Elephas maximus indicus: one gene and its partner. The protein of the gene in region 1 interacts with the protein of each later gene in a pairwise test. Links are inferred from orthologs where the notes say so. Each region holds a gene or a part of one and is shown in the gene's direction. Other genes may lie near its edges.

Region 1 (7,115 bases):
ACCTTGGTTGTTTCCAGCTTTTTGCTATTGTAAACAGAGCTGCAATAAACATGGGTGTGCATATATCTGTTTGTGTGAAGGCTCTTGTTTCTCTAGGGTATATTCTGAGGAGTGGGATTTCTGGGTTGTATGGTAGTTCTATTTCTAACTGTTTAAGATAACGCCAGATAGATTTCCAAAGTGGTTGTACCATTTTACATTCCCACTAGCAGTGTATAAGAGTTCCAATCTCTCCGCAGCCTCTCCAACATTTATTATTTTGTGTTTTTTGGATTAATGCCAGCCTTGTTGGAGTGAGATGGAATCTCATCGTAGTTTTAATTTGCATTTCTCTAATGGCTAATGATCGAGAGCATTTTCTCATGTATCTGTTAGCTGCCTGTATATCTTCTTTAGTGAAGTGTGTGTTCATATCCTTTGCCCACCTCTTGATTGGGTTGTTTGTCTTTTTGTGGTTGAGTTTTGACAGAGTCATATAGATTTTAGAGATCAGGCACTGGTCGGAGATGTCATAGCTGAAAATTCTTTCTCCCCAGACTGTTTTTTCTCCAGCCTCTGGTTCTCCATTGTGGCCAAGGTTCTCAGAGAAGGCACTAGAACTTGCGGGGTGGGAGTGAGGGGAAAAAGGGAGGGCAGAAAAGCAAAACTTATACCCTCTCGCATTGTGAGCCATAAAGGAACAAGGACATAACACCACAGGTGCCTAGCCTGAGGTCTACACGTCCATTTGTTAGTCTTCCCACAGAAGGCAAGAGCCATACAACAGGACTGACTAGGGCTTGGGACAAGTTATTGATCTCTTTCAAGGGCAGAGTGGAGTTGGAGTGGGGGGAAGTGTCCAGGCTAATGGGAGCAAGGACACATGGAACAGGCCTGGGGGCTGAAGCAGAGCCTCCACCCCAAACCCTGCACTTCCACCCAAGCCCCCCAGCCCCCAGTGCAGCTATAACCTGAGTTCCTTTCTGCCACAGTACAGAGAAGCATCAGCCTGCCACTGATATCAACAGACCTGATTCTTTTCAGAAGAAAAATCCCCTAGAAGAGAACCAGGCTGGATCCCTGAGGGAAGACCCTTGGAGAAGGCAGCCCAAGCGCTGGAATTCTTACAGTTAAAAGTCCCAGAAGAGGAGGAGAGTCCCAAGGACTGCAGGCTACTCCCTGGCAGTGGGGGTTTCCTTCTTCACCCCTGATCTCCTGTAGTCTTAGTTTCAATTCTGCCAGGCAAGGGAGACCATAAGTCTTCTCCTCTGGGGCCCAGGCTGGAGGCTACAAGACTTGCAGAGGACAGGATAAAACCCAGACCCTGCTTATGAGACAGGTCACTCTTCTGTATAGGACAACCAAGGGCGACTTCAAGGAGGATGCCTGGAGGACATGAGAAGGTGAGAAGGAACAGGATGGTGGAAAGAGGCCAAGCATTTGGGAAGTTTCTCATGGCTACTTAGCTACAGCATTTAAGAGCAAGATGGTGTCCACAGAATAGACCTCAGCTGTCTTGCGGGCAAGATCTGGAAAGGTTAGGAGTTCTACTGGAAAAAGAAAGCAGGGTGTACAAGCCACCCTCCCAACCTCACCCAAAATGGAAAGCCTCGGGGCAGTTGGAGTGGAGTTGAGGAGAACAGGTGGCAAGGCTGCTGAGGAGTTGCTGACACTGCTGATCCTCTGTGCGCTGGGGCCGTGACTTCAGGGGGAGAAGCTCCATGTGGGAGTTTTTGAGAATAGGTGCCCGGATGTGGAGCCCTGCCAGGTATTCCTCCTGGTGTAAGCCATTGTGATCCAGCAAAGGCCAGGCACTAGTAGGCGAGGAGCTAAGGCAGGAATGGCATGAAGGGCAGATAAGCAAGAGCTGGCTGTCTTGAGAGGTGAAGAGCAGGGGCCAGTGACCTTCCCCAAGAGATGGCTCTTCATCTAACCATGACTGGTGCCTGGTTTATCTGCTCTGTCTTTTCTTTGCAGTGGGGAGAAAGACAAATGACCACGAAAGCTCTCCTGCCTGCTTCTGTATGATATGTTTGATATTGGGTTGTTTAATTAGGAGCCAACTAAATGTCAAACATATTCTTACAGCAGTTGGCAATTCAGCAGCACACTCTTTTCTACCTCAACCTCTGGGGATCCTGTCTTTTCTATTGAACTTCTCTTCAGGACCCCCTCTGGCATATTAGTGGCTGCAACCCATGAAGATTTCAATCTTAAGCTAGAGGGATGGTGTATGAGTGGGATGAGAGTTGGAATTTCCCCCTTAGTAGATAAGATTTCTCTCTTTACCTCTCCTCTCCTTTCCTTGTATTTTTTCATTCAAGTCCCCCTCCCCACTTATTATCCACTGCTTCCCACCCCTGGGACTCTCTTGTTCCTAATCCATTTCCCTGGCTGGTCTGCACATTAGAGGTCTTTGGTCTCTTGCTTTCCTTCAAGTGTTATCTGACCGTTTATCTATTTATCTCTAGTGACTGCAAGCTCTCAGTTCTCAAGAGTGGACTCCAGCTCTGTCCTATGCCTTGCTGGTCGTTTCAGTTTCTTCATTGCTGGGGCATAGCATTAACACCATCCATCTAGCCTTGACATAATGATTCATTTGAGCCATTTATATTCTTCCCTGTTAGCTCTGGTCACCTTGAACAGTGCCCACCGCTCTCCTGGCATACTCTCAGGTTTTATGGTGCCAGTGTGATCAACTGCCACCTGTCAGCAATGAGGCTCCAAGTGGAAGAATGAACACGCCCTGGAACTAAGCTGGGGAGAATAGAGTTGATGATGATGATTATTTTGACGAGTGGTGGTGGGGGTGGGGATAAAGAGAGGGTAAAGGGTGACGGAAAGAAGAGTAGAAAGCAACAGAGTCACGGGGTGGATTATCCAATAGGCAAGGTAAGCTTACCTTGCCTACCAGATCATCTGGAATGAACAATTTCATTACAGATTAGTTAAGTAAGCACAAGTAAGCCTGTGCTTACTTTGCTTACTGGGTCATCTTATGACTGTCAGTTTAAAAAAAGGCTTTGATTCTGCAGGAAGGTGCTGTGAGGTTGGGACAGAGACAGATGCCAGCCATACCTAGAAGCAGAATCTTCGATGTGGTGAAAAAATGTGAAATTGTTCACTACGGATGATCTGGTAACCTTGTGCTTACTTGTCTATTGGATAACCCTCCCCCGTCCCCCGACCCGAGCACACCCATTGGTCCGTGTGGGTACAAAAGTTCTATTTAAAGATCACTATGGGAAAACGGAGCCTTGCTGGCACAGTGGTTAAGAGTTTGGCTGCTAACCAAAAGGTCAGCAGTTCAAATCCACAAGCCGCTCCTTGGACATCCTATGGGGGAGTTCTACTTTGTCCTATAGGGTTGCTATGAGTCAGAATCGACTCAATGGCAATGGGCTTTTTTTAATGGGAAATCAGCATGATCCTGTCTGGCTCACTCTAACCCTATCCTAGTTTAAGCTCTGAGATGGCCTTCCAGATCTCAACCTACCCTCTTACTCCATCCCTGTGGTTCTTAGCAGGGAGGAATGATGTCTCCCTTCTAATCAGGGACTCCCAAAATAGCAAAGCAATTTGATCTTGGGATCTAGGGGAATTGTTAAGGATCATGAGTGACCTCCCCTCTTCACTGTTGCCCAGGCTCCCTGGATACCAGGAATCAAAAGATGAAACCCAACCAGTGGAATCTGATCACCATCCAACTCAGTCTGGGTGACAGTAAGAGGAAAGCTGAAGGGCAACTGAGACTCTGGATGAAAACTCACGCCATCCTAAAATTGCCAAAGTACCCTTCCCTTTTCTATATCAATGTTTTCTCTTTCCCTCTCCCTGCTCTTGTAAAATACCCATAGAACTGCCTAGAATAAGTGGAAATTTTCAGGGTTGGTGAGAGTCTCCCCTCCTCCACTTTCCATTGTCTAAAGTCAGCCTCAGCTGTTCACAGATATTTCTTTGCCGGTGATGTCAGTCCATCAAAGTGTCTCACCCTGTGTTCCCCCAGGAGAATAACGATGGGGTGGAGAGAGATGGAAGGGCCATATTAGGAATAAGAGGTGGAGCCACAAGCAGAGATAAAGGCTTAAGTGTGGGAAACTTCTAGTCACTCAGGCAGCAGCCCTTCCTTTCTTGACCTAGTCTCCAGTTTCTAGTGCTCACAGGTGAGCCCAACAGCCACTGCTCATGATGGAGGCCATCAAGAAAAAGATGCAGATGCTGAAGTTGGACAAGGAGAATGCTCTGGATCGGGCAGAACAAGCTGAAGCTGAGCAGAAACAGGCAGAAGAAAGAAGTAAACAGGTAGGCACTGCCATGATGTCTTTCACCTCCTGATGAATAAGACTGAGATGGGAGAGAGTTTTCATGGGAAAAGCAGTGACCCCTGGTGCCAGCTCCTTCTTTAGGCAAGAGGGACTTTTCTTCCCAGCTTCCCTGGAGGGGCAGAGGACATCTGCGGTATCTGCCTCAGACTACCTGTGTGACCTCGGGAAAGTCAGTGATCCCCCTCAGAGCCACAGCATGTCTGCTGGATTTAAGTGGGAGGTGGATCATCTTTTGGAAGAGCCCGGAAAAGGCGGAAGGCCTGGCATGCAGCATCTCTTTTCCGTTAAATGGAGTCACAGGTATCTATAACCTTAGATATTGGATGCCAGGGTCTTGGATAAAAACCCTGGCATCCAACCCAACATAGGGTCACAGGCCAAGGCCGAAGCGTAACACTTGGAGCATTAGATTGGAAATGGCTGGGGAAAAAGTATGTCTCTGAGGATGGTAACATAGAGGCTGGGCTCCGGGGCCTAGTAGGGCTCAAGAGCCCAGGGTCCAAGACTGTACTGCTGTGTATATGTATGTGACTCTCTGGGCTCCTACAGCTGGAGGATGAGTTGGCAGCCATGCAGAAGAAGCTGAAAGGGACAGAGGATGAACTGGACAAGTATTCTGAGGCTTTGAAGGATGCCCAGGAGAAGCTGGAGCTGGCTGAGAAGAAGGCAGCTGATGTGAGTATTAGAGTTGGGGATGGGTTTAATCCACACATATAGATCTTGATGTTAATATGTGACTAAATTCCAAACACACTTTGACATATGCATACTTGTGGGTCCACAGACAGACATATGTATATACTCACATACATCTCTGCATCTAACCACATACTGGTATACTCTTGGAACAGCATATATTTTCTTCCTTAAAGAGATGTAGAAGTCTCATCTTTCTGTTGCACTGCCAGCCCAGGAATTTTATTCTTTCCCAAGAACTGGATAAAAGGAGAAGACTCCAAATCCAAGTTGCTATCACTTATCCTACCCTTCCCCCATGACACATTCTTAGCTTTTGTGTCCAAGGCTTGGCATGAAGATATGTGTATTAATAGGGAATCTCTCATCTCCCAACTACCCAACAAAGCCAGCTTGGATTTCACAATGGGACTAAGGAGGTCACATTGACTCTGGGCCTGTATAGGTTTCTTTATCTTGGCCAATTTGGGCATCTGATCTCAAGTAACAGAGATGCCATATGAAGCATTCTCATAGGACATCAGGGAGGTCCTTAGGGTGAAAGACTACAACAGAAACTAAGAAGGAATCTTAGAGGGCAAAAGTATCACCACCAGACCTTACTCTATAACCTTGAGTCAATTACTCAGCTTCTCTAGGGCTGAATTTTCCCATTTGAAAAATGAGATTAAATCTTCTTTCCCACTTCATGTTATCCCCGTTTCACTTAATACTCTCCATTTTCAACCTTGAAGTTTGCCACAAAGATAACTGAGAGACTAGATAGGAAAGTCTTTGGGGAGAAAACTACCATAGGAATCTTAACAGCGACAGAAGAATATCCTAGTGTTGATGGAGATAGAGTTAAAATGCTCAGCAAACTGAGTTAATAGGAAAACAAGAGCATGTCACTTAAAAATCACATTTGGTTTTGGAAAATAGCTAGAAGGAATGAATAAGCCATTCACAAATACTTTTGGATCCTTACACTCAGGCTTTTGCCATCAGGTTTCTATCTCCTGTTTGGCTTTCTATCACTTTCAGGGGCCCTGGGAAATGGTAAGGGTTGAATATATGATGCCAGAGACTAGCGACAGAAAGCAGTAATATACTTTATACGTACGTAGAGTTTCCAAATGTTTAGGCCACTGCAAACTATTAATACCCCATTCTTGGAAAACTGCAAAAAGTATGGATTACTCCAAGGGCTTTGGGCAAGTGCTTGATGGCATGCTGGAGTTGCCCTAGCCTAGGTCTGTGTATGGATGTGTGGATCTCTGGTTCCAAAAAACCGGCATACGGACAGAAGTTTTCACAAACTGGTACAGTAAACTGGCATAGGGATAGAAGTTTTCAGGAATTGGTACAATAAACCAGCGTAGGGAGACTTTTCACAAACTAGCACAATTTCAGGCTAGTAACATTTTTGTGAGATGTTGGGTAATAATTCTCTGGGAAAGTCCTTAGGCTGAAACAGCTAATATGTGCGCTTGAGGGGATGTTTCCAGGGGCAACAAAAAAAAAAGTTTAACCTGAATCTTAGGAAAGGCAGAGTGACATAGAGGCCCTTAACAATATATTAATATCATGGGGAAGATAAGAGAATTTCCTGGGGATGAATTCTGTCCATTCTAATCTATTTTACACACACACACATCATCCCCCACCCAGATATGGTCTTTGTTGCTAGTTGCCATCTAGTCAGCTCTGACTCGTGGTGATCTTACATATAACAGAGGTCTACTTAGTATATTCACTTGAACGAAATGTCTGACATTTATACAGGAATCCGCCAAAAACGTTTCAACATGTAAAATGTGGGTACAAAACTCATTCAACTTCTTCCCCCCTTACTAGCTAGTGCAACAAGTCAATAAGCACCATACACTTATTGGAATGGAAGAGGAAGGTTGTGGGCAGGAGACAAAAGTCTTCTAGGGTAGGTTGAGAAGGCAGCAGGCAGAAAAGGCATCTTTCCTCAAAGCTGGGGTCAGCAAACTAGCAACTGTAGGGTAAATCCAACTGCAGCCTGGTTTTGTAAATAAGGTTTTATTGGAACCCAGCCATGCCCATTCATATACAAATAAATCATGTGTACCGGATGCCTTCTCCCTACAACGGGAGTAACTGCCACAG
Region 2 (7,248 bases), on another chromosome or scaffold:
GGACCTCACCAGATGGAATACACAGGAGTCAAGTCGACTACATCTGTGGAAAGAAACAATGGAAAAGCTCAACATCATCAGGCAGAACAAGGCAGGGGCCAACTGCGGAACAGACCACCAATTGCTCATATGCAAGTTAAAGTTGAAACTGAAGAAAATTAGAACAAGTCCACGAGAGCGAAAGTACCACCTTGCATATATCCCACCTGAATTTAGAGACCATGTCATTAATAGACTTGATGCATTGAGCCCTAATGACCTAAAAGCAGACACAGGAAGCATCAAAAGAAAATGGAAGGAATACAGAGAGTCACTATGCCAAAAAGAATTGGTCAGTGTTCAACCATTTCAGGATATAGCATATGATCAAGAACCGGTACTGAGATGCACTGAAGGCACTGGAGAAAAACAAGGCTCCAGGAATTGACAGAATGCCATTTGAGATGCTTCAACAAACTGATGCCATGCTGGAAGCGCTAACTCATCTATGCCAAGAAATGTGGAAGATATCTACATTTGTACCCATTTCAAACAAAGGAAATCCAATAGAATGTAGAAATTATCCAACAATATCATCAATATCACACAAGTAAAATTTTGCTAAATATCATTCGAAAGCAGCTGCAGCAGTATATCGACAGGATCTGCCAGAAATTCAAGCCAGATTCAGAAGAGGACGTGGAACAAGGGTTATCACTGCTGATGTCAGATGTATCCTGGCTGAAAGCCGAGAATACCAGAAAGATGTTTACCTGTTTTATTGATTATGCTAAGGCATTCCACTGTGTGGATCATGATAAATTATGGATAACATTGGGAAGAAGGGGAATTCCAGAACATTTAATTGTGCTCATGAGGAATCTATGCTTAGATGAAGAGGCAATTGTTTGAACAGAACAAGGGAATACTGTGTGGTTTAAAGTCAGGAAAGGTGTGCATCAGGGTTGTATCTTTTCACCATACTTTTCAATCTATATCCTGAGCAAACAATCCCAGAAGCAGGGCTATATGAAGAACGGGGCATCAGGACTGGAAGAAAAGTCATTAGCAATTTGCGTTACGCAGATAACACAACAGTGCTTGCTGAAAGTGAAGAGAATTTGAAACACTTATTGGTGAAGATCAAAGACCACAGCCTTCAGTATAGATTTGTAAAAATGGTGTGGGGGCAGTGTCTGACCTTCTCCAACCCAAGGGGGAAGGAGAATCAAGATCAACAGCACAAGGCTGACTCCCATGAGGCAGAGGCCAGACAAGCTTCCTCTCTTTGCCATCTGTACTAATTCTGACATCAACTGTCCCTCACATAGCACTCTTTACTTCTCTGCTGGGCTCGATATTTCACTGCAATGACCACAGAGAACTCAAAGACCATATTTAGGGTTTATTATAAGGGAAGTAACTGTTATACTTCTGGCTCAAGAACACTCAGGATACAGTTCTTTCATCAGGACAGCCTCTTCCCAACCCTGCTCACAGGCACACCTCTCCCTAGCCCTAGGCCTCTCCCCAAAGATAGTCAGCTTTCTCTGTGGGCCAGGAAGCCCAATCCACCTTCTCCTGCTGCCAGGCCTCTCCTGCAACCGCTTCTCACCCTCTTTAGGGTTATAGCTTGCTCTCTCACTCCTTTGGTCTCCTGCTTCCAGGAGCTTCTCAGCACTGGGATCCTGGGTCCAAAGGACGCGTGCTCCACTCCTGGCTGTTCTTCGTTGGTGGTGGTAGGATCCTCCTTTCTGCTCTGGAATTGGCTCTCTTTTAAGTCAAAAATGACCAAGCCCCTTGGAGGGCCACAATTATCTTATCACACAGTCCCACCCAATCACCTGAGTGGGAGTTACAAGACCATGGCTAGAAAGACCACACAGAAAAGTAATTAATCATACGGCAGGATTACACCTCAACATAAAGGAAAAAAAAAATCCTTGCAACTGGACCAATAAGCAACATTATGTTAAATGGAGAAAAGACTGAAGTTGTCAAGAATTTCATTTTACCCAGATTCACAATCAACGCCAGTGGAAGCAGCAGTCAGGGAATCAAACGACACATTTGGGCAAATCTGCTGGAAAAGATCTCTTTAAAGTGTTAAAAAGCAAAGATGTCACTTTAAGGACTAAGGTGTGCCTGACCCAAGCCGTGTTGTTTTTAATCATCTCATATGCATGCGAAAGCTGGAAGATAAGTCAGAAGACCAAAGAAGAATTGACGCCTTTAAGTTATGGCAGATACCACGGACTGCCAAAAGAACAAATAAATGTCTTGGTAAAAGTATAGCCAAAACGGTCATTAAAAGGAAAGATGATGGGACTTCGTCTTACCTACTTTGGACATGTTATCAGGAGGCACCAGTTCATTGAGGAGAACATCATGCTTGTTTAAGTAGAGGGTCAGCAAAAAAGAAGACCCGCAATGAGATGGACTGACACAGTGGAAGTAACAATGGGATCAAACATAGCAACGATTGTGAGGACGGCGCAGGATCCCGTAGTGTTTCATTCTATTGTATGTAGGGTTGACAATATCTAACAACAGATGGTTTTGGAGCCCTGGTGATGCAGTGGTTAAGAACTGTGGCTAACCAAAAGGTTGGTAGTTTGAATCCACCAGCAGCTCCTTGAAAATCTTGAGACAGTTCTATTCTGTCCTATAGGATCGCTATGAGTCAGAATCCACTCCATGGCAACGAGATTGGGTTTATTTGGCTAGCTATTGTTTTATGTTTGACTGTTCAATTGATTGATGGATCCATTCTCAGTCACAGGGAACGATCCCAATCAAGCACTTGATGGAGGTGGGCGCAAGGGAGAGCTTCTTGATGTGAGGGACCGGCGGGCATGAGGCCCTCTCCCCAGGGCCCTCTAGGTGGTGGTCGGGTTCTGTGGCTCTGCGTGGGCGGGGCAGACTTGCACCTGCAACGTGGCCACCTCATGATCCACTGCAGGCTGCCTTCCTCTTGGTCCCTGCAGGGTGCTGCAGGCCAACCCCCAGTCCTGGTCCTCTTGCCTCAGCTTCCACGTCAGCTTGCTCAACCAGAGGGCAGCAACAGCGGGTCACGCCAGCCTGGCCAGCAGGGCTAAGGGGTGCAAGGATGCCGGCCGGGGTCCTCTGGATGCACTCTCGCCAGGCCTGCCCTCGGGGCCAGGTTGACGTACGGGCCTGTGGAGCAGAAGGAGCAGCCCTGATGTCAGGAACATACTCAAATACTGCCTCCAGGACAGTGGCTAGAATTGTATCCCCCGCCCCGGCCCCCAGGGAACTCGGGACCCATCTTCTCTTCCCAGAGATAAAGCTCTGGCACAGCAGACAGTCCGCATCTGCTCCCCTGCCCCTGACCCTATAGCCGGCGGGGGGGTGTGGGGGAGAAGGGGGCCTGCCGGTCGTGATGCGCTGAAGTAGAACGTGCCCATCGACTCCACCGATTGGGCGTCGGCAAGGGGTCCAGAGGCCCCAGGAAGAGGTGGAGACTTGGGCCTGCTGAGGGAACCAGACCAGGACCTGCGGGAGCACCCAGGACGCCGTGGCACAAAACGCAGGCTCCTCAGGGCAGGATCCAGAACGAATGCGCAGGCGTCCGAGCGTGGTTCCGAGGCCCCGCCCGCATTGGTGGGGGCGGGGCCCGCAGGCCGCTGAACACCGCCGTTGGTAGCCGGTTCTGAGTATCTCCCCGTGTGTCTCCGTGTTCTTTTTCATGGAATGTTTCTCTGTACGTCCCTTTTTGTCTCTGGAGTTCTCTACTAAGAAATGGCTGCGACCCCAAGTTCCTGCCTTGGAGCCATCGGTGAAATGAGGACATCTGGCATCAGGTGTTCCCTGTTGTTGTTAGGTGCCGTGGAGTCAGTTCCGACTCACAGCAACCTTATGTACTACAGAAGGAAACACTGCCCGGTGCTGCAGCATTCTCACTGTCACTGCTATGCTTGAGCCCATTGTTCACTAAGGAGTATTAGCAGAGCAGGAACGCCAGCTCTTGGCGCCATGGCACAACACATGCGCACTTACTCCAGCCTCTGTGGGCGGGGCTAGAGGCCCACGCCTGCGCAGCACCAAAGATGCTAAAGGAGCGCGCCCCGCCCGTGTCGTTACACATGCGCAGGACACTGGCTCCTCAACTGACGAATAGCAAGGCCGCAGGCTGCCCTGCCGTTCTCTAAACTGGATTTGTGGACCTGCAAGTTTTACGCATGCGTACTAGCTGCCCGGCAGGGCGCCCGACTTCTTGAGGGCTCAGGCGGGGAACCGTTACACGCCTGTTTCTCTCTTCTTTCCCTCCTCGCGAAGTAACTGCAGGGCGGAAGTGCATTGCGCAGGCGTGTTGCAGGGGGTCGCGCCCCTGGCAAGGTTTGGTCCAATCATCGGCCCAAGCGCCGAAGACGCCAACACCTCCGAGCTGAGAGGAAATGGCGGGAAGGTCGGGGCTTTCGAATGCGGAGCTCGCAGGAGCCATGGACCGGTCTGAAAAAGGCGGAGGTAGTGGCGGGAGGCCGACGAGGGCCTTCTTGGTAGCTGGGTTGGAAAAGACTCGGGGTGCGGGGTCCGAGCGCGCTCCAGCTGGGCGGGTGCGCGGACGCTGGGCCGTTCCATCTTTGGGATGAAAGTGACTGAAAACGATTCTAAGTTTTTTTATTGTAAAAAAACGTTGATCGTTCTTCAAAGAGAAGGGAATAGTTTATATGACTCATTTAACTTGCACTGTATTTTGCTCCTTTGAGTTTTTGCTGAGGCAATTTAAGTAGTTTTCGTGAGAATTTCCGTATGAGTATCTACAAACAAAAAAAATAAAAGGGCTTTTCCCTTGAAGTGCACACCTAAGGGAATCCTCATTTTAACGGCCAGTCCACAGCCAGAGTTCCCTGTTGCCCCAGATGTCCCTACTGTGCCTGGTTTGCTTGGAGACCAGACTGTCTTTCCTTCGGGCAACCAGGGAAAGGAGGGACACGCAGCTTGTTCACATTGTACTAAAATTGAGGAATTGCAGCCCAGCAAGGAGATGAAAAACAGAAAAATCTCCCCAGTGTGTTCTTTGGGAATTTTGAACCGTAGAATGCTGTAGTCAACGCGCTTGTTGATCACTGTCTCGATACTTACCTGCGCCAGTGCCTGCTTGACACATGCGGGTGCTTGGTAGTGTTTTTACAAAATAAATGTTTGAATAATGAAATAAGTTTAGCACAGATAGCTCTCTTAGAGTAGGACTTGACACCCAGTGACAGGCCTAAGGACAAAGAGAAAAATAAACTGGACAGATCTATATATATCCCATTTTTTAAAGCACCTGCTGTGGTCTCCACTCACCATGCCGTAGAAGTCTCTTAGTGTCACGGTATCAAGTTACTCAAATAAGCTAATATATTTAAATAAAGGTTTTTTCAACTTCAACAGCAAAGGAAGAAATTTAAATTTTCAGTCCATCGGATTATTTCAGAAAGGGAAGCAGGGTGATGTCTGATGTCAGTGACCCTGTGGGGACACATGCCTCCCCATACTGAGCTGGTAGGAAGACCAGTGGGTAAAGGTTTTGCAGTAACACATCTGGCAGGATTTTTAACATTTAAATTGATTTTTCCTTTTTCAGTCACCTTCCTAGCGGATCACACAAAACACACAGATTCTGCCCCACTGGTGGTAGCAGAAAATGGGAAAGGAATGGATAAATCAAAGTATACTCATGCACACTGTGAAATACCTGGTGGTGGATTTCTAAAATAAGAAATTTAATTAAAATTAAGTTAAATATTAATTAAAGTTAATTTTTACATTATTGGATATATTTATACTCACAGATGATTGTCAGAGGACATATTTTTATGAAAGAAAAGTAATTGGAAAAATTATGTTTATAAGAGTGCTGTGTGTTGCACAGAAAAATGTTTGGAGGCTGCGTTCTTAATTTATGATTCTGGGGAGTGGATTTTGATTTAGAGGGTGGTGCGGAGGTGAAGGGTCATTTTGAATCATATGGTTTGATTTTTTTATTAAGAAAATGTAGGTAGTACTTGTAGTTTAAAGTCAGGAAAGGTGTGCGTCAGGGTCGTATCCTTTCATCATACCTATTCAATCTGTATGCTGAGCAGATAATCTGAGAAGCTGGACCATATGAAGAAGAACGGGGCATCCGGATTGGAGGAAGATCCATTAACAATCTACGTTATGCAGATGACAACCTTGCTTGCTGAAAGTGAAGAGGACTTGAAGCACTTACTGATGAAGATCAAAGACTACAGCCTTCAGTATGGATTACACCTCAACATAAAACCAAAAACCAAAAAAACCAAACCTGTTGCTGTCGAGTCAATTCTGACTCATAGCGACCCTATAGGACAGAGTAGGACTGCCCCATAGAGTTTCCAGGGAGCACCTGGTGGATTTGAATTGTCAACCTTTTGATTAGCAGACATAGCACTTAACCACTATGCCACCAGGGTTTCCCCTCAACATAAAACAAAAATTCTCACAACTGGGCCAATAAGCGGCATCACGATAAATTGAGAAAAGATTGGAGTTGTCAAGAATTTCATTTTTCTTGGATCCACAGTCGACACCCATGGAAGCAGCAGTGAAGAAATCAAAAGACACATTGCATTTGGCAAATCTGCTAAGAAAGACCTTTTTAAAGTCTTAAAAACAAAGATGTCTTCTTGAAGTCTAAGGTATTCCTGACCCAAACCATGGTGTTTTCAGTTGCCTTATAGGCATATGAAAGCTGGACAACTAATAAAAAAGACTGAAGAAGAATTGACACCTTTCAATTATGGTGTTAATGAAGAATGTTGAACATACCATGGTATGCCAAGAGAATAAACAAATCTGTCTTGGAAGAAGTACAGCCAGAATGCTCCTTAGAAACAGGAATGGCAAGACTACATCTCGCATACTTTGGACATGTTATCAGGAGGGATCAGTCCCTAGAGAAGGATTTTAAGCTTGGTAAAGGGTCAGCGAAAAAGAGAAAGACCCTCGATGAGATGGATTGACACAGTGGTTGCAACAATAGGCTTAAACGTGACAATGATTGTGGGGATGGTGCAGGAACAGCCAGTGTTTTGTTCTCTTGTACATAGGGTCACTGTGAGTCAGAACCAACTTGACAGCACCTAACACCAACAATAACTTGTGGAATACTAAAATGTAAAGGAGAAGGGGGGAATTTTTGAATGCCATTTGAGGAGCAGATGTTAATATCTATCACTGTTAATACCTTGGTTTCAATTGTTGTACCATTGGTTACCACATAGAGAGTACTTCAAAACA

The links.
Region 2: the proteins of TPM3 (region 1) and SYCE1 interact in binary tests that used the Homo sapiens proteins (3 or more experiments, as listed by UniProt). The two-hybrid records come from large-scale screens. The link is inferred for Elephas maximus indicus from reciprocal best matches to the Homo sapiens genes TPM3 and SYCE1.

Annotation. Positions count from the first base shown.
Region 1 is NC_064821.1:191,974,365-191,981,479, reverse strand, and holds the start of TPM3 (tropomyosin alpha-3 chain), read left to right. Parts: upstream 1-4,106; 5' UTR 4,107-4,164; coding exon 4,165-4,281; intron 4,282-4,853; coding exon 4,854-4,979; intron 4,980-7,115. UniProt on the Homo sapiens protein: Binds to actin filaments in muscle and non-muscle cells. Plays a central role, in association with the troponin complex, in the calcium dependent regulation of vertebrate striated muscle contraction.
Region 2 is NC_064834.1:83,296,911-83,304,158, forward strand, and holds the start of SYCE1 (synaptonemal complex central element protein 1), read left to right. Parts: upstream 1-4,243; 5' UTR 4,244-4,397; coding exon 4,398-4,467; intron 4,468-7,248. UniProt on the Homo sapiens protein: Major component of the transverse central element of synaptonemal complexes (SCS), formed between homologous chromosomes during meiotic prophase. Requires SYCP1 in order to be incorporated into the central element.